Daphnia pulex: one gene and its partners. The protein of the gene in region 4 binds, or shares a complex with, the protein of the main gene of each other region. Links are inferred from orthologs where the notes say so. Each region holds a gene or a part of one and is shown on either strand. Other genes may lie near its edges. The genes, in order: eukaryotic translation initiation factor 3 subunit L-like, eukaryotic translation initiation factor 3 subunit I-like, eukaryotic translation initiation factor 3 subunit J-like and eukaryotic translation initiation factor 3 subunit D-like.

Region 1 (4,123 bases), on a different chromosome or scaffold from region 4:
TTCACGCATTTTCTAATATTTTTCGAAATGAAATTGAAAGAGAAAAACTCTCAAGTTTAACGGTCAACGTGCCTCGCGCTGGAATCCTCTGGATATGAATTTCCGTTTGCAATGGGACTGGCATTTATAACCTCATGAACAGCCTTGGGTGCAAGAGGGCGGAGCTTGATTGTGTTGCGCATTGCCATTGGTCCACGAAATCAAACATGAAAGCCAAATCCTTATTGGGAGATTCGAAATTTGCGTCCGCGCGTTTCGGTTATTTTTTGCTCCTAGAGATGCAGAGTTTATATGTTTCTGTATATAGTTGGCTGAATATTAAAAAACGGAGATATGACCCAATCAAAATTCTAAATAAGTAGAGAAATATTTGCAGGGCAACGTTTTTGGTTTGTCTCTAGTTCCTTTTATTGAACGTTATAATCTTAAACTTCAAAAAATGCCTGCTTCCATTTAAGTTCAGTAAAATATTAGAATTAAATATAAAGTTTCGATTAAAGATAAGATAACCCACTTATTGTCATCGGTGTGGCGAATATGGTAAGAAATAACACGCTTTGAAAATTCATTCCTTTTCCGTGGTTGGTATGTGATTGAAATATTGCCAATTACGTCTCTAAAAGGAAAGAAAACCGGGAACCGTATAAATTCAAAAACCAGTTTGTACGGCATCATGGTTTGCGATTTTCGAGTTGATTTCAAAGTAATAAAACCTGTTCGGCACTATTAACCATTGACTCCAGCATAGTTTTATGTAATCCTGCTTAAATGCATTAGGCATAATGGTCACATGAAACCACAAAACACTTATTCCAAACATGGCAAATAATCACCATGACAGCAGTACACACATGTATGCCGGTGAATCACGCGACAGGGGACGAGCCGGAGCCGGCGAGAAACGTAAAAACTCGGTCCCAGTTGTAGCAGACCTCTGCCAGACACGATCAATACTTATGTGTCTAGACAACCCATCCTGCAACTGCAACAAATCCACCTCAGCAGTGTTTTTATGGTTCCTGGGAAACACAGCCTGAATGCAGCTATTGGAGTGCTTGATGTCTTCATCCGTAAATTTGAAACAATTTTGGTAACCATTTTCTTTGAATATTTACTTCCTGATCAACTTTTGATCATGATTTGATATACTTGCTATAAAACAGAAAAACAGAATTGTAATGGCAGTCCCGTTTAGCATTGAAATCTGTTAAGTTTAAGGTAAATTAATCTCAACCGGAGTAAATAAGTTTGACGATCGATTTTTACATTCGAATTTTTGACAGATGATCTTTTGGAAAATTGTTGAGTACATGCGGCAACGCTGTGCAGCTACTATTATTTGACACTAGAGCCACTAGTAATCGAAATAGTAATCTTACTCGTGGACTTTTCTCAATTTTCCGCAATTTTCAATTGAAATTTAATAACTATCGGTATTGAAAAACCTAAAAGATGTATGCCGAAGAATTTGAGGATGTAAGTGTACAATAATTACAACATGTTCTGTACCTATCATCAAAAACTTTTTCATTTGTAGTACGAGTATGAAGCCGATGCCTATGAGCCAACCGGGGATCCACGGCTTGATGCTGAAAATGAACGATACACTAGCTATGGAAGTGCTCCCCAATATGCTCAATATAGCATGCCGGATGTGATCAAGAAATTCATTATTTATTTTCGAGAGATGGTAAACTCTGGAAAGTTGTATGAAATTCAGAATGTCTACGAGAACACGTAAGCCCACCACAGTGCCTGTCAGACAAAGTTGAATTGTTGATCCATTGTTTTTTACTCCATTTAGATTTCCAAAATTAACTGAAGAGCACTTCAAATCATCCCCTTGGCCTGATGCAGATGAAGTTTCCCCATTAGTGGATGATGATCAACCGTTTCTGATTCTCTACAAGGAACTTTACTATCGCCACATTTATGCACGAATCCAAGGAGGACCAACAATTGAACAACGTTTTGAGTCTTACTACAACTACTGTCAACTTTTCAACCATATTTTGAGTACTAACTTCACTAATTTTTAGATGTTTGCCCAAAGCCTTCATAAACCATTTTACTACAGGTGCTAAAAGTCCAGTTGTTTTGGAGCTTCCTCATCAATGGCTGTGGGAAATAATTGATGAATTTGTCTACCAGTTCCAGTCTTTTGCTCTTTTTCGTTGTTCTCTTCATAAGAAATCAGGTACACCCATCATCTTATGCTCCATCTTTTCTTTTCTCACCATTTTTTTTTTTTTTTTACAGCTGAAGAACTTGAATTCATCAGAATCAACCCAACTTTGTGGAACATTCATTCTGTATTGAATGTGTTGTATTCTTTGGTTGACAAATCCAATATCAACCAACAATTGGAAGTAAGAAGGAGAGAATCATTATTGGTTGTAATTTAAAATTAATACAATCGATATGTAGGTATACGCCAAAGGTGATGATCCCGATACCGTAGCAGGAGAATTTGGCCGCCGACCTCTTTATAAAATGTTGGGTTACTTCAGTCTTGTTGGATTACTGAGACTCCACTCATTATTAGGAGATTTCTATCAAGCTGTTAAGGTTCTTGAAAATATGGAACTCAATAAAAAGGTAAGCGCAAAATTAAAAATGATTTGCATTGCTTGTAAACGTAATCCATCAATCTCATTTTAGACTCTGTACTCCAGAGTACCTGCCTGCCAAATCTCAACTTACTATTATGTTGGTTTTGCTTATTTGATGATGAGGCGGTATGCTGATGCTATTCGGACGTTTTCCCATATTCTACTCTACGTCCAGCGCACTAAGCCATTATACCAGGCTAAAACATACCAAAATGACCAGGTCAATTAGATTTAAGTGAAATGAAATACTGAAATCTTAATCTCCTTTTTTGTGTTTATAGATCAACAAACAAACCGAAAAAATGTACGTTCTACTGTCGGTGTGCCTCGTTCTTCATCCTCAGCGCATCGACGAATCTCTACAGGCGATCCTGCGAGAGAAACCTCATGCCGAACGCATCGTGCGGATGCAAAAGGGAGAACTTCAAGTGAGTTTCTGTTGATATTTTTTAAAGTTAAAGCAACAATTTAAATTTGTTCAATTATGTTAGGAATTCGAAAATGCATTCGCTTTCGCTTCTCCGAAATTTTTGTCTCCTGTTCCACCTCCTGTCGAAGCACCACCTGCCGATCATCGCCGTGAACCATTTCAACAGTTGGCAAAAGTTTTCATGGATGAAGTACAACAGCAACTTACTTTGCCAACGATTCGCAGGTATTTGTTCAACATTAGATTTGAATGTCCGAGTATTATTAACATAAATTTTCTGTTTAGTTATCTACGTTTGTACACTACTATGCCTGTCGCCAAAATGGCTGCGTTTTTGGAAATGCCCGATACTGATTTCCGCACCCATCTGCTATGCTTCAAACATAAGATGAAGAACGTCGTTTGGACTAAAGGCACCTCTGGATTGGACGGTGAACTCCAATCAGGCTCTGAGGTGAAATATCTTAGAATTGTAGTTCTAGTGGAATGTATCTTATTTACGCTTTTGCTCGCATTAGGTGGACTTCTATATCGATGGCGGAATGATCCATATTGCTGACACGAAAGTAGCTCGGCGCTATGGTGATTACTTCATTAGACAAATCCATAAATTCGAGGAAATTAACCGCGTATTGAAGACACAAAAAGTTTAAAAATCCGATGCTTTACCTCCTTTAAATATGTTTTACATCTTATTGGTTTTTCAAAGGCAAAATACATAACATGGAGGAAGTTAGTGATTTTTAACTTTTTTTAAAGAGAATTTTTTTCTTACCTTTAAGTCCGACAAGTTACAAGGAAGTCAAATGAAATGAATGTAAGGCCACCAGTGATGTTATGTACGTTTCTCTTATTTTTGAATGTATTCAAATGATAAGATTATTTTTATTAGAGAACATTTTTTAAATAATTGGACCGAAGATCTTACTAGAAATGTAGACCATTGGCATCCTCATAGGAAATGTAAAAAAAAAAAAATGCTATCTAAAATCAAACAAGGGGAATTCAAACACACAAGGGCAATTTGAAAATTTTCAGTTTCAGTCAAAGCATCAGTAGGGAATATGAGTTTTTTTTTCAT
Region 2 (3,467 bases), on a different chromosome or scaffold from region 4:
CATTATCACTGTTTTCTCGGAATTTTTTCATGACCTGGAGTAAAAAGAACGCTAGAAGAATATACACCACATAATAAAAAGGATGTCGTTTACCTGGGTGACTTCATCAACACAAAGGGCTATATCTAAACTTCTAAGTTCAATAGATGAAGATTCTTCACACATTTTCTCAACATTGTGGGCCTCATCAAATATAACAATATTTCCCTAAACAAGCACAAAAAAAGAAGTTAATATTTCATGCACCTTTAAAGACTACTAAATGTACTGGGAATTACCTGGAGTTCAATGTTGTGAATTTTTCTCACTTTAGGATCAAGAAGGTAGTTGTATGGCATAAAGATGATGTCAGCTACCTTACGAATTTCTTTTGTCATAAAATAAGGGCAAGCAGAATGTTTTTTCCCCAAAGTCACCAAGTCTTCAATATCCAATACATCCATTTTGAAGTCTGGTTCCTCTTTCTTAGCATCTAGATTTGTGTGGAAGTAGCAAGTACGAGTAGTAGTTCTAGCATGGCACATGTGAAGCTTTACAGCATTGTTTGTTTCCTTTGACACTTCTGGATGAATGCACAGTTGGTCACGAGATCCAAGGATGCATACCTTAAATGAAGAAAAATAAAATAAGGGTTATCAAAACCCATTTCATGTAGGCAAATAGCTTTAATGGAAGAAGGAAATGCTCACCTTCATATATCTGTAAGAGGACCGTTTTAATTCAGAAATGACCTGGCTGAGCTGAGAATGAGTTCTGGATGCATAAATGATTTTGGGTACTCCAGCTCCAGGAGTAGCAGCATCTCCCCATCCAAGCCCAGTTGCATTACTTAATTGATTTTTAATATCCACTCCCATATCTCCAGCTAATTGACCAGACTGTATTTGTGCTTTTCGTGTTGCTAACCAACCCAATGTCGAACAAAGTAAGCACAAAGTTTTTCCTGTGCCAGTAGGAGATTCCAACAAACCATTTACACCCTATTTAATCAAGAATAACAAAATAAGAGCAAGGTGTCCACTGACCGATAACGCAACACTAGTTACTTTTTGAAGACATTCTATCACACGCTCCATGAATTTCTCTTGTACATCATAAGGCTGGAATGGAAATTCAATGGGAACATTATTTAAAACCAAATTCACCATTCTAGATAAATAATTTTGGTAATTGTGTTCCACGAGACACACGCAATGTGAAGGAACACGCAATGTGAGGGAACCCGCCAAAATAGTTGAATGAGAATAGCAGACGATGTTAAAACTGCTTTAACTTCCCTAGCGAGTAGCGCCCTCTGAAACAAATCGAAAAGTAAAATTATTTTTGCTAGTGTCATTTTAACGTTACGCGTGATTAAAGAATAAAAATTAATTTTTTTTTTTTTTGTATAAAGTTTAACAGTTTTGATAAGATTAAAGATGGTTCGTTTTTTGGTGGGTGGGTGGCAACACTGTAAAATCGAGCAGGGCCGGCAGACGAGTGTTGTAAAAACGTCGAAAGGCCTCAGTCGCCCCACGCCGAAAGAAGTGTACGTCATTATTACAGTTGTGACCAATTAATATAAACAAAAATGGTAATTTTCAGTGCATTTCTGTTATTTAATTTCATTATATTAATCCACTGTTATTGTTGATCACAGAAACCTCTTATGCTTCACGGTCACGAGCGTTCAATCACGCAAATTAAGTACAACCGGGATGGAGATTTGCTCTTCTCGTCAGCCAAGGACAACCACCCTTGTGTCTGGTATTCAGTCAATGGAGAACGATTGGGTACCTACGAGGGACATCAGGGTGTCGTATGGGCGATTGATGTTGATTGGGAAACTAAACGTTTCATGTCTGGTGCTGGTGATAATATGCTCATGATCTGGGATGTCCAAACTGGTATGTTCAGTGAGAAATGACCCCATTGCGTAATTACGACTTAAACTTTTCTTTGTTTTTTTTTAGGCAAGGCTTTGGGTAAAATTGAAGCCAAGACTTCAGTTCGTACATGCAACTTCAGTTACAGTGGAAACATGGCCCTTTACTCAACAGACAGTACTATGGGTAACCCTTCAGAGATCTTCATCATTGATGTCAGAACGGTTGACTCTTCCTTCAGTGAAAATGACCCCATCCTGCGAATTCCATTAACTAATGCCCCTAAAGCCACATCAATGGTTTGGGGTAATCTAGATGAGGTTGTTATTTCTGGTCACGACAATGGTGACTTGGCCCAATGGGACCTCAGGTGAGAATGACATTGTCGTAACCTTGAGTGCTTAAAACTAAATCCTGTTTATTATTTATACTACAGAACTGGCAAGAAGAACAACCTGGTTTCAGAACACGCCAAGTCTATCAACGACATGCAGCTGTCCAAAGACGGAGCTCTCCTCATCACTGCATCCAAGGATTGCACTGCAAAACTCTTTAACGCCGAAACGTTAGAGTGCCTAAAAACTTACAAAACTGAGCGACCCGTCAACAGTGCCGCCATCTCACCCATCATGGATCACGTATGATCCTTGAGCTTCTAAATGATTCAGTTGATCGATTCTAACTGTTTTCCTTCAATCTTCAGGTGGTGTTGGGAGGTGGTCAAGATGCCATGGACGTAACGACGACCTCAACGCGTGTCGGCAAGTTCGACGCCCGTTTCTTCCATCTGGTTTTCGAAGAAGAATTCGCTCGTGTCAAGGGCCATTTCGGTCCTATCAATTCTCTGGCCTTCCATCCCGACGGAAAGACGTACGCCAGTGGTGGTGAAGATGGTTACGTTCGTTTGAATCAATTCGACCAGTCTTACTTTGACTTTAAATTCGATTACTAAACCAGAAGAAAAGCGAAAAACCTACGAAGAACCCAATCCATCATCTATGAACACTTGTCTTGTGTTTATTTTTTGACCACTTTCGTGTACATGGGCGATATAAGAGAAGGTATTTGAATACATCATGTTGGAAAGGTCTCGAGTGAGAATCTTTTTTGGGGGGAAAATTTATTTCTCAAGAGAGGGCACGAGACGAAATTAAGCGTATACAAACAGGTTCGAGTCGCCTGTTTAAGAGGAGAAAACATAACTGATATTGTTTACAAACAATTCTTTTGAAATCTTTTTCTTCTGACGAAGTCCATTACAGGGTTTACGATATTCTAATCACCTACTGTTGCGCATCCCAAGAAAACTTGGCATTTTGCGAAGAGAAAGAGCTCATCAGTTTCCTTCTGGTAGAAGTTTTAATGGGAGACATTCTTGTCCCAGCTGAACGCATTGGAACTTATTACGACTCTAGCGTCTTGCCAACATGGTCGGGACTATCTCGAGCGACAAGGAATCATTGAGAAGCTCGCCGGTAATTTGGACGAGGCTCCTGCAGATCCTCTTGCCTCGCCTGCTCGTTCCCGGGCTTATGAAATTTATCGGTTCGCTGGCTCATTTTCAACCGGATGTATTAGCCAGATATCCGAACTTTACAAATA
Region 3 (3,238 bases), on a different chromosome or scaffold from region 4:
ACTCTGCTCCGTTAACTTCTTTTAGTTCCATTTTCTTGCTCAACTTGTGCTCTATCACTCCAGAAATTCATTAACGAACTTTCTCACAGTGAAACGCCATATAACGAGTTAGAAGTATCGACCAAACAACCACTTTTATGCCACTACTAGTCTGCTACTCAGCAGGAAACGCACGTGCTTCATTTATTGATTAGGCATGCAGCCGGCTGCCACGGCAACGATTTCCATTACATTTTAAAAACAAAACCCCCCTAATCCCCTCTCTTACGCCCACTGGGTATCAAATAAGGATTCACCAGTATACAAATTTGCGGGGTACTCAAAACTCAAATTTAAAAAAATAAATATTGAAAGTTATTTGCTTACTTTTGACAGTGTGTAGCATTCAATGGGACAAATACATCTAACTACATCTAACTTTACAACTGTCACCATCTCCTTTTTTGACGCTAAAAGTAGAAAACTGGAACGTCTAAGAAAATATGCAACTTAACTCTATATATTGAATTAGAATAATTAAGAGGGAGGTTTTAACTTTTAACAGAAATTCAATCTCAATATATCTTAAAACACTGAAAAAACTGACAAGAGCAAAATGGCAAAATCATACATTTATTTTACCAATAAACCTTTTCCCGCCAAAAACAAAAGAAAAACAATTGGACCCTACATGAAGTCGTCATAGTCTCCTCCTCCGAAATCATCACCGAAGTTGTCGACCATTCCTTTGTCCATTTTTAAAGCAACTTTTGTTTTTCCTTTCTTTCCACCTTTTGTCGCCGCCTTCACCATCTTGAGTTTTTCTTCGTGCAAGGATTTGGTAGTTAGACTAACTTTTCTAAGGACTTCGACTTCCACTATGTTGAAAAACTGGGATGTAGAAAAGTTTTTAGCAACCAACATTAGAAAATGTGACTTACATCCAATGCAAACATCTTTAATGAAGTCCTCTATAAAATCATTATAGCACGCTTTAGTTGACAATGACTGAAGTTTTTTCACCAAGTTGTTCTTGAATTCTGAGAATTCCTCTTTAGATGAAGGGTTTGCTTCATCTATGCTTCCCTCTGTAGGCAAACTACCAGTAATTCCTGGAAAATAAAAATAACATTGAGAACAAAATATAAAACAAATCATGCTTAGTGCAGGTCAGCAATACAGTTTCCTAAGACAACTTACCAAAGGTTTCCTTGGCCATTTCAAAATCTGATTCTTCAACTAGTTTTTGTCTCCGAAGCTTTTCTGCTATTCTCTCTTCAGGTGTCATGTTTGCTTCCTGCAATATTTTTCTGGCTTCAGCTTCTTCTCTGCTTTTCTTTTCTTTTTCGGCTATTTTTTCTTCTAATCTTTTACTTGACTTTTTTTTGGTAGCCTGAAAGTAACAAACACATTTTAAATTTTTTGGATACTTTTACGAGAGATCACATGTACTTACTGTGGCTGCTGCTTTGACTTCAGCAGGCTTATTTTCTGTTTCTTCATCTTCCCAGCTATCCTATCATTTATAAACAAGAAAAAATGATAATTTTGAAATCAATCACAACTTTATGTAAAACTCATTGAGCAATAAGAATTTTTTGGCAAAAGAAGACACATGGTAGTCAAGTGAAAGTTGTAAGAATTGGAGCAGAAATAGAAAGGTACTGAGAGAACTTTTTTTCACTACAAGCGCTACAAGGTTCTACCAAATTTGTAGATATACTTACTACTAATATCATCACAATTGAATTACAACTCACCTTGACAGGTTCATCTTCATCCTCACCTTCCCATTTATCTGAAATTATGGCAGTCGTAACTGGAACAGGGACAGAGGGTTCAAAATCTTCGGCATCTATAATCACCACAAAATCGTATTTGATTAGAGTATACGATTAAATGGAACTTTGATATGCACTATTGAGAATTTCATACAAAAAACAGGTGGAATTGAATAACTTAATATAGAAATAATTAAATAAAATCACCCCAATCCGCCTCGGCCTCCATCTTCAACGAAAAATCGTGAACACACTAGTGTCCATGGCAGTTGCCAAATGCTTTCACTTTTCTAATAATGTTAATATGTGCATTACAAAATATTAAATATAGAAACCTAACAATAATTAAATTTTGAAACTTTATTGCAAACCTTTTATTATGAATTATTTAATTTTTTTTACCTGAGATATCTCGTTAATCCCAGCGTTGCTTAGTCTAGTGTTTCTGTCTTCCAGAGGCGCTAGTGTTTGCCTGTTTCCGAACTGCTTTTCTCTGACATTACCTGTTATTTAGCAATTGATAGGAGTTTCTGTCTGTATTAGTTGAGTTGACGTTTCACGGTGACCGTCGAAACAAAAGTTACCGCAAATTGGAGTAACAAAGTGACCGAAGTTAAAAAAAGAAATATTTGATAATGTCTGGATTTGATCAGAATCCTTTTGCAGAACCGGCTGTTTTCAACCCGTTTGCGGTAGATTATTTATAATATGTATATTATACTTACTATTACCATACTAATACCTTGGTTGAAAACTGGTGATTCATGGAGTACTCGCCGCATACAATATGAAAGAAAACCTTTTGAAAAATCACCTTGTTTATTAGTTTAGTGGTAAAGTGGTTGTTTACTTTCACAATAGGATCCATCTGTCCAGCAAGCTGCAGGAAACAATGCTGCGAGAGCTCAGCAAGGTCTTGAAGAATACAACCCTTTTGATGGTAGTAATCAAACTACCAGAGTTTCAATGGTAAAACATAATTTTATCATGAAAGTGGGAAGTGTGTTTGATTTGTTACAAAATTTAAGGACCGTGTTGGTGGAGCCAATCCACCCCCAACAATTCAAGCTGCCCCAGTGATATCTCCAGGACCACAACAACAAGCAGCTATGTCAAATGCGGATTTTCAAGTATTAAAACTTAAAAAGAAAGAAGGAAATCTTTATTCATTATATTGCATGGTTTTATAGAGACGTCAAGAAGAACTAGAGAAGAAAGCTCAAGAATTGCAGAGGCGAGAAGAAGAATTAAAGAATAATGTACCATTCAACTGTAGGAGAGAACAAATTTAAATGAAACTTTACTTTTTAATTTCTGTTATTTACTTCTTCATTACAGCTCAGCGCAATAATTGGCCACCACTGCCTGACAAGTTTTGTGTCCAACCATGCTTCTATCAAGACATCAATGTGGAAATCCCACTTGAATTTCAAAAAATTGTCCGCATGTTATACTATATTTGGATGCGTAAGTTAAAC
Region 4 (4,028 bases):
AATCAAACAAAGTAAAGCTGTATAAGTAAACTGGAAGCTTCATAAGTGCTTTATTCCATGTAACGATCATTACAAACGTAGTACTGTTGTAGATTGGGGAATTGGTGGAAGAGCTGTTCTTTTGTTTGTATCAGCCGTTACTCGTCTTCTATTCATGTGTAAAAAATAAATACATTATTATTTACCATTTCGTGGTTGACGTTATGAAATCATGCGTTTAATAGCGCCTTTTTTAAAGCTACCTTAAGTCATGTCGCGTATCTAATTAGGTTTTTTTCCCCCAAGAAGCCAAGCACTTCCACTAGTGGTTAGATATTATACATATATACAAAGCTCGAGCTACGAATTCAAGCAAAACGTAACACGGCGTACAAATGCAGGGAAATTTGATTAACTGCTTGGACGTGTTTATTTAATCTTTGCTAGTAAAAAAAAAAGGGAGGCCAACACCCAAGCAAAAAAAGCAAGCCAGCAGTTACACACGCACGTTACGATATTGATTGGTTACAAACCTTCGCCTTCTTCGAAAAATGCTTCATCGTCGCTCTCAAACGTGTTATCGGGCACCTTGTAAAGGCGGATGACGGGCTTGTTAGGATCCTTCACCAACAAATATTTGCCATCCTCTTCCTTCATACACAAATCAATAATACAACGGAGAATGCCCCAAGCATTGTCCATGTTAAGGTTGATTTGCGATGCGAAATCTGACGGGCGGAACTGCTGTGTTCCAAGGATTACATGACGCGATGTATCTCGTAAGTGCATACGGGAAACATATCTGAAGTAAACAATATTAGTTACAATAATATTCGAGGGACAACAGGAGTCTTCACATACCCGAATTTAATCCAATCAGAGTTGGCGAGCAGAGCTTGCACAGTCCATTTTGCTAGCTTGCATGCATTATTCTTCAGCTCGTTGGCCAGAACAGCACCTCGCTGAGTGTCCAGTTTCTGGCGCCATTCGACTCCACCAGACAACTTGAAGTACAAAATCATTTTAAAGACACAGTTTCATTACGAACAGTGAATATGCATACCCTTGAGTCCCATTCATTAAGAGCTTTGATGTTGATAAATTGGTTATCACCAGCCGATCCAACGGTGACAGCGTCATGTTCGCAACGTGCCACCAGAACAACACCCCCATCTAAATCCCATTTACGGTAACGGTAAGCCACCGAGGCAACTTCACCTACTTCATCTTCCGAAATGAAGGGATTAGGCTCATCCAATTTGAATTTTTCTTCTCCCTACAAGATTATGAAACGACAAAATTAGGGATTTATGCCATTTTATAAAACCTATTATAAATACCATCTTCAGGACTTGTTGGGATAAATTATGATTAATAAAGGTCGCTTCTAGTGCCAAATTACGTGGGCTATTGATGCCCTCTTCTTGAGGAGGTTCATTGGATGTTTCGGATACAGTTAGCAGATCTAGGGAAAAGGGAAGATTATAGATCATTGCAAACTCCCTCAGTGGCCAAAAGGTACGTACCAAATTCCGAATCATCACGTTTATCAAAAAACAGTTTGCCACCAACTTTCTGGACGATTATGTCCCAACTATAGTTGGAGCGAATACTGCACATCAAAGTAGCCAAGATGGAATCAGTTGCGTAGACATTACCCTCAGTTTTTGCCAACTAATGAATTTGAGAATTAGCATACTACCACGCGTAAGACTTGAATGTGACTACTGTTTCTTACTTTGCGGATAATGGGGTCATCAGTTGTGGTGACCTTGTGAAAAATACGATCAATTCTTTGCAGTCTTCGTTCATTTTTCACAGTTACGCGGTCGTACTGCTTATCATAAAACTCGAGTTCACCACAAGTAAGTCTGGAAAAATAAAATAATATCATTATTTTAAAATCAGCATGTGAAAGGTTTTAGTTTAAATAGTTGATTACAAATCAGAAGCTTCCTTGCTAAGACGCAGAGAAAGTTTGTTGAGCCTGGGGAAATCCATCTCTTCAATGATTTTCCATGAAGGCTGAACAATAACTGATGATTCACGGTTTTTAACCTGAATTTGGCCCTACAAGTTTTTAAAAAATGAGTATGAGACTGAATAATCGGTAAGGTGAGAAGCTTTACTTGACGAGGTCCTCTATTATTCCACTTGTTCCTAGTCTGTCTCATTCGGTTATCCTTCATCTTGCCACCTTCAAAGAAAATGTATAAACAATCTGTTGCTATTAATTGCTATTTGAACACTTTACCTTTAAGTGGCACAGGCTGAGAATTCCTAAAGTTTTGTCTGCCTCTTGCAAGCCGTTGGTTGCGAAGGAATCTTCCTCTAGCATACATTGGTCTTGGAGTCCTTGCAGTATCCACAAGCTGAAAGCTGTTCTCTTCCTCATCATGCAGATAAGCATACTGGCTTCCACCAGCCCCTCCAGAGTATTTTCCACCACCATACTTGCGGTCTGTAAAGGAATAATTGATGCTGCTTCCACCAGCCCATTCCGACATCTAATAAATTAAACAAAACATCAGAAGAAGTTAATACAAAATTCGGCAATGAAACGTTACCTTCGAGAATGGTTGATATGGCATATCTTTGTAGCGGTCGGGAATACCTAAAGGTCCCCATCCGTCATTATTGTCTTGAGTCGCTGGTGGAACAAAATGCGCCGCCATGTTATACAATTTAACGTGACCTTATGAAAATAACTTTTCAGAATTTAGTCGTAGGCACTTTCTCACTAGACCGGCTGGCTGACAGCTTGCTACAAGTTAGAACATGGTAATCGCCATTTTAGTACCGGATGCTACGTATACCACTGTTGCCATTGTTGAAAATGATGTTTATACCTTTCTGCCGCTTTACTTTTTTCCACTGTTTTCCTAATAATTCCGAATTAGCATATCTTTAATTTCAATCACAAATTTTTAATTTAGACGCAATTATAATAAGATACTGAAGTATGAAAATCTTAAATCAGCTAAAAAATACAAAAAATATAATAAAAAAATGGCCAGAATACTAAATGACTAAATGTATTCTGATCTGGAATATGGTGTTTTTTATAAAATCCCTCCAGAGTCAAGCTCAGACTCAGATGAAGAAATATGTTACATTACTTTAGAAAGTTACACCAGATTGAACGTAAGATCACGGAAACCCCACACTTCATTAAAATATAAGTAAGCCCACTAGAGAGAAATGTTTTTTAATTACATATTATTGTTGTCTTTTCGAAGATAGCACAAATTTTCTTTCGAGAGTAGAGAATCATTACTTTCTCCTCCATGTATCTTCGTTTTTTAAATGAATGACGTATCAATCTTAATTTTGCGAAAGAGGAACATAAAGAGGAATTGTGAGGTAAGATTTTTCAGTATTAGAGTGATTAGAGAAACTGTGGATATTCTGTACAGGGCACGTGTATTCTTTCAGCTCTTAAGAATGATTAACCGTTCGATCTGGATATTTTCTAATGGGCCACTGTGCAAATATAGATATAGACTACATTATAATTCAGAGACCTATTCAAAATTTTATAATTCATCGACAAACGGGACGTTGCTCAGGTTTCCAATGGCAGCGACAGTTAGCTTGGCAGAAGCCAACCGGGAAGCTACAGCGTTGACGTCAGCAATTGAAACATTATCGACAGTAGAAAGAAGATCAGCCCGGTTGAGAAGCGCTTGCAGAGCCAACTCTTCAACTAACACACCAGTGTTCTCTTTGGCCATCAACAAGTCGGCTTTAAGTTGGGCTTTTGCACGGCTCAATTGGCTTTCGTTGACTGAAGCTGATCGCAAAACTTTTGTAGCGGCGGAAACAACTTTGCCGGCATCTGAGGCTGGGGCAGCGGCCACGAACCCAAATAGACCAGCATCGGAGTAGTTCAAATTCAAGGAAGAAACTGCACCAGCACCCAACACTGCTTGGTTTAGTTTTGATCCTGCTCCAGAACCATATTTAACTGGGATTCCTAGACAGTAACAAAGGAGTTATTTTGATAGACTTTTTAATTGTGGGAAGAAGGGGAATATGATTACCTGCAC

The links.
Region 1: eukaryotic translation initiation factor 3 subunit D-like (region 4) and eukaryotic translation initiation factor 3 subunit L-like share a complex: the UniProt entries of both Homo sapiens proteins name them as parts of the eukaryotic translation initiation factor 3 (eIF-3) complex. The link is inferred for Daphnia pulex from reciprocal best matches to the Homo sapiens genes EIF3D and EIF3L.
Region 2: eukaryotic translation initiation factor 3 subunit D-like (region 4) and eukaryotic translation initiation factor 3 subunit I-like share a complex: the UniProt entries of both Homo sapiens proteins name them as parts of the eukaryotic translation initiation factor 3 (eIF-3) complex. The link is inferred for Daphnia pulex from reciprocal best matches to the Homo sapiens genes EIF3D and EIF3I.
Region 3: eukaryotic translation initiation factor 3 subunit D-like (region 4) and eukaryotic translation initiation factor 3 subunit J-like share a complex: the UniProt entries of both Homo sapiens proteins name them as parts of the eukaryotic translation initiation factor 3 (eIF-3) complex. The link is inferred for Daphnia pulex from reciprocal best matches to the Homo sapiens genes EIF3D and EIF3J.

The regions. Positions count from the first base shown.
Region 1 is NC_060018.1:1,452,574-1,456,696, reverse strand, and holds eukaryotic translation initiation factor 3 subunit L-like, read left to right. Parts: upstream 1-1,306; 5' UTR 1,307-1,452; coding exon 1,453-1,476; intron 1,477-1,537; coding exon 1,538-1,737; intron 1,738-1,804; coding exon 1,805-2,016; intron 2,017-2,077; coding exon 2,078-2,197; intron 2,198-2,259; coding exon 2,260-2,369; intron 2,370-2,427; coding exon 2,428-2,598; intron 2,599-2,661; coding exon 2,662-2,832; intron 2,833-2,893; coding exon 2,894-3,040; intron 3,041-3,103; coding exon 3,104-3,267; intron 3,268-3,327; coding exon 3,328-3,496; intron 3,497-3,560; coding exon 3,561-3,695; 3' UTR 3,696-3,778; downstream 3,779-4,123. Other genes in the region: tubulin beta chain, read right to left, coding at 1-9. UniProt on the Homo sapiens protein: Component of the eukaryotic translation initiation factor 3 (eIF-3) complex, which is required for several steps in the initiation of protein synthesis.
Region 2 is NC_060019.1:6,193,280-6,196,746, reverse strand, and holds eukaryotic translation initiation factor 3 subunit I-like, read left to right. Parts: upstream 1-1,423; 5' UTR 1,424-1,570; coding exon 1,571-1,573; intron 1,574-1,639; coding exon 1,640-1,886; intron 1,887-1,952; coding exon 1,953-2,235; intron 2,236-2,301; coding exon 2,302-2,503; intron 2,504-2,568; coding exon 2,569-2,817; 3' UTR 2,818-2,955; downstream 2,956-3,467. Other genes in the region: regulator of telomere elongation helicase 1 homolog, read right to left, coding at 1-34, 94-207, 279-605, 690-980, 1,047-1,148. UniProt on the Homo sapiens protein: Component of the eukaryotic translation initiation factor 3 (eIF-3) complex, which is required for several steps in the initiation of protein synthesis.
Region 3 is NC_060019.1:7,843,299-7,846,536, forward strand, and holds eukaryotic translation initiation factor 3 subunit J-like, read right to left. Parts: upstream 2,055-3,238; 5' UTR 1,990-2,054; coding exon 1,968-1,989; intron 1,835-1,967; coding exon 1,740-1,834; intron 1,496-1,739; coding exon 1,436-1,495; intron 1,373-1,435; coding exon 1,180-1,372; intron 1,092-1,179; coding exon 921-1,091; intron 858-920; coding exon 667-857; 3' UTR 593-666; downstream 1-592. Other genes in the region: coiled-coil domain-containing protein 39-like, read right to left, coding at 1-31; secretory carrier-associated membrane protein 2-like, read left to right, coding at 2,396-2,452, 2,622-2,729, 2,789-2,890, 2,951-3,032, 3,099-3,227. UniProt on the Homo sapiens protein: Component of the eukaryotic translation initiation factor 3 (eIF-3) complex, which is required for several steps in the initiation of protein synthesis.
Region 4 is NC_060023.1:3,616,111-3,620,138, forward strand, and holds eukaryotic translation initiation factor 3 subunit D-like, read right to left. Parts: upstream 2,801-4,028; 5' UTR 2,655-2,800; coding exon 2,547-2,654; intron 2,487-2,546; coding exon 2,234-2,486; intron 2,177-2,233; coding exon 2,109-2,176; intron 2,050-2,108; coding exon 1,922-2,049; intron 1,851-1,921; coding exon 1,718-1,850; intron 1,654-1,717; coding exon 1,506-1,653; intron 1,445-1,505; coding exon 1,320-1,444; intron 1,256-1,319; coding exon 1,043-1,255; intron 984-1,042; coding exon 841-983; intron 782-840; coding exon 513-781; intron 191-512; exon of another isoform or gene 149-190; coding exon 138-148; 3' UTR 27-137; downstream 1-26. Other genes in the region: L-allo-threonine aldolase-like, read left to right, coding at 1-25; cytochrome b-c1 complex subunit 2, mitochondrial-like, read right to left, coding at 3,516-3,955, 4,023-4,028. UniProt on the Homo sapiens protein: mRNA cap-binding component of the eukaryotic translation initiation factor 3 (eIF-3) complex, a complex required for several steps in the initiation of protein synthesis of a specialized repertoire of mRNAs.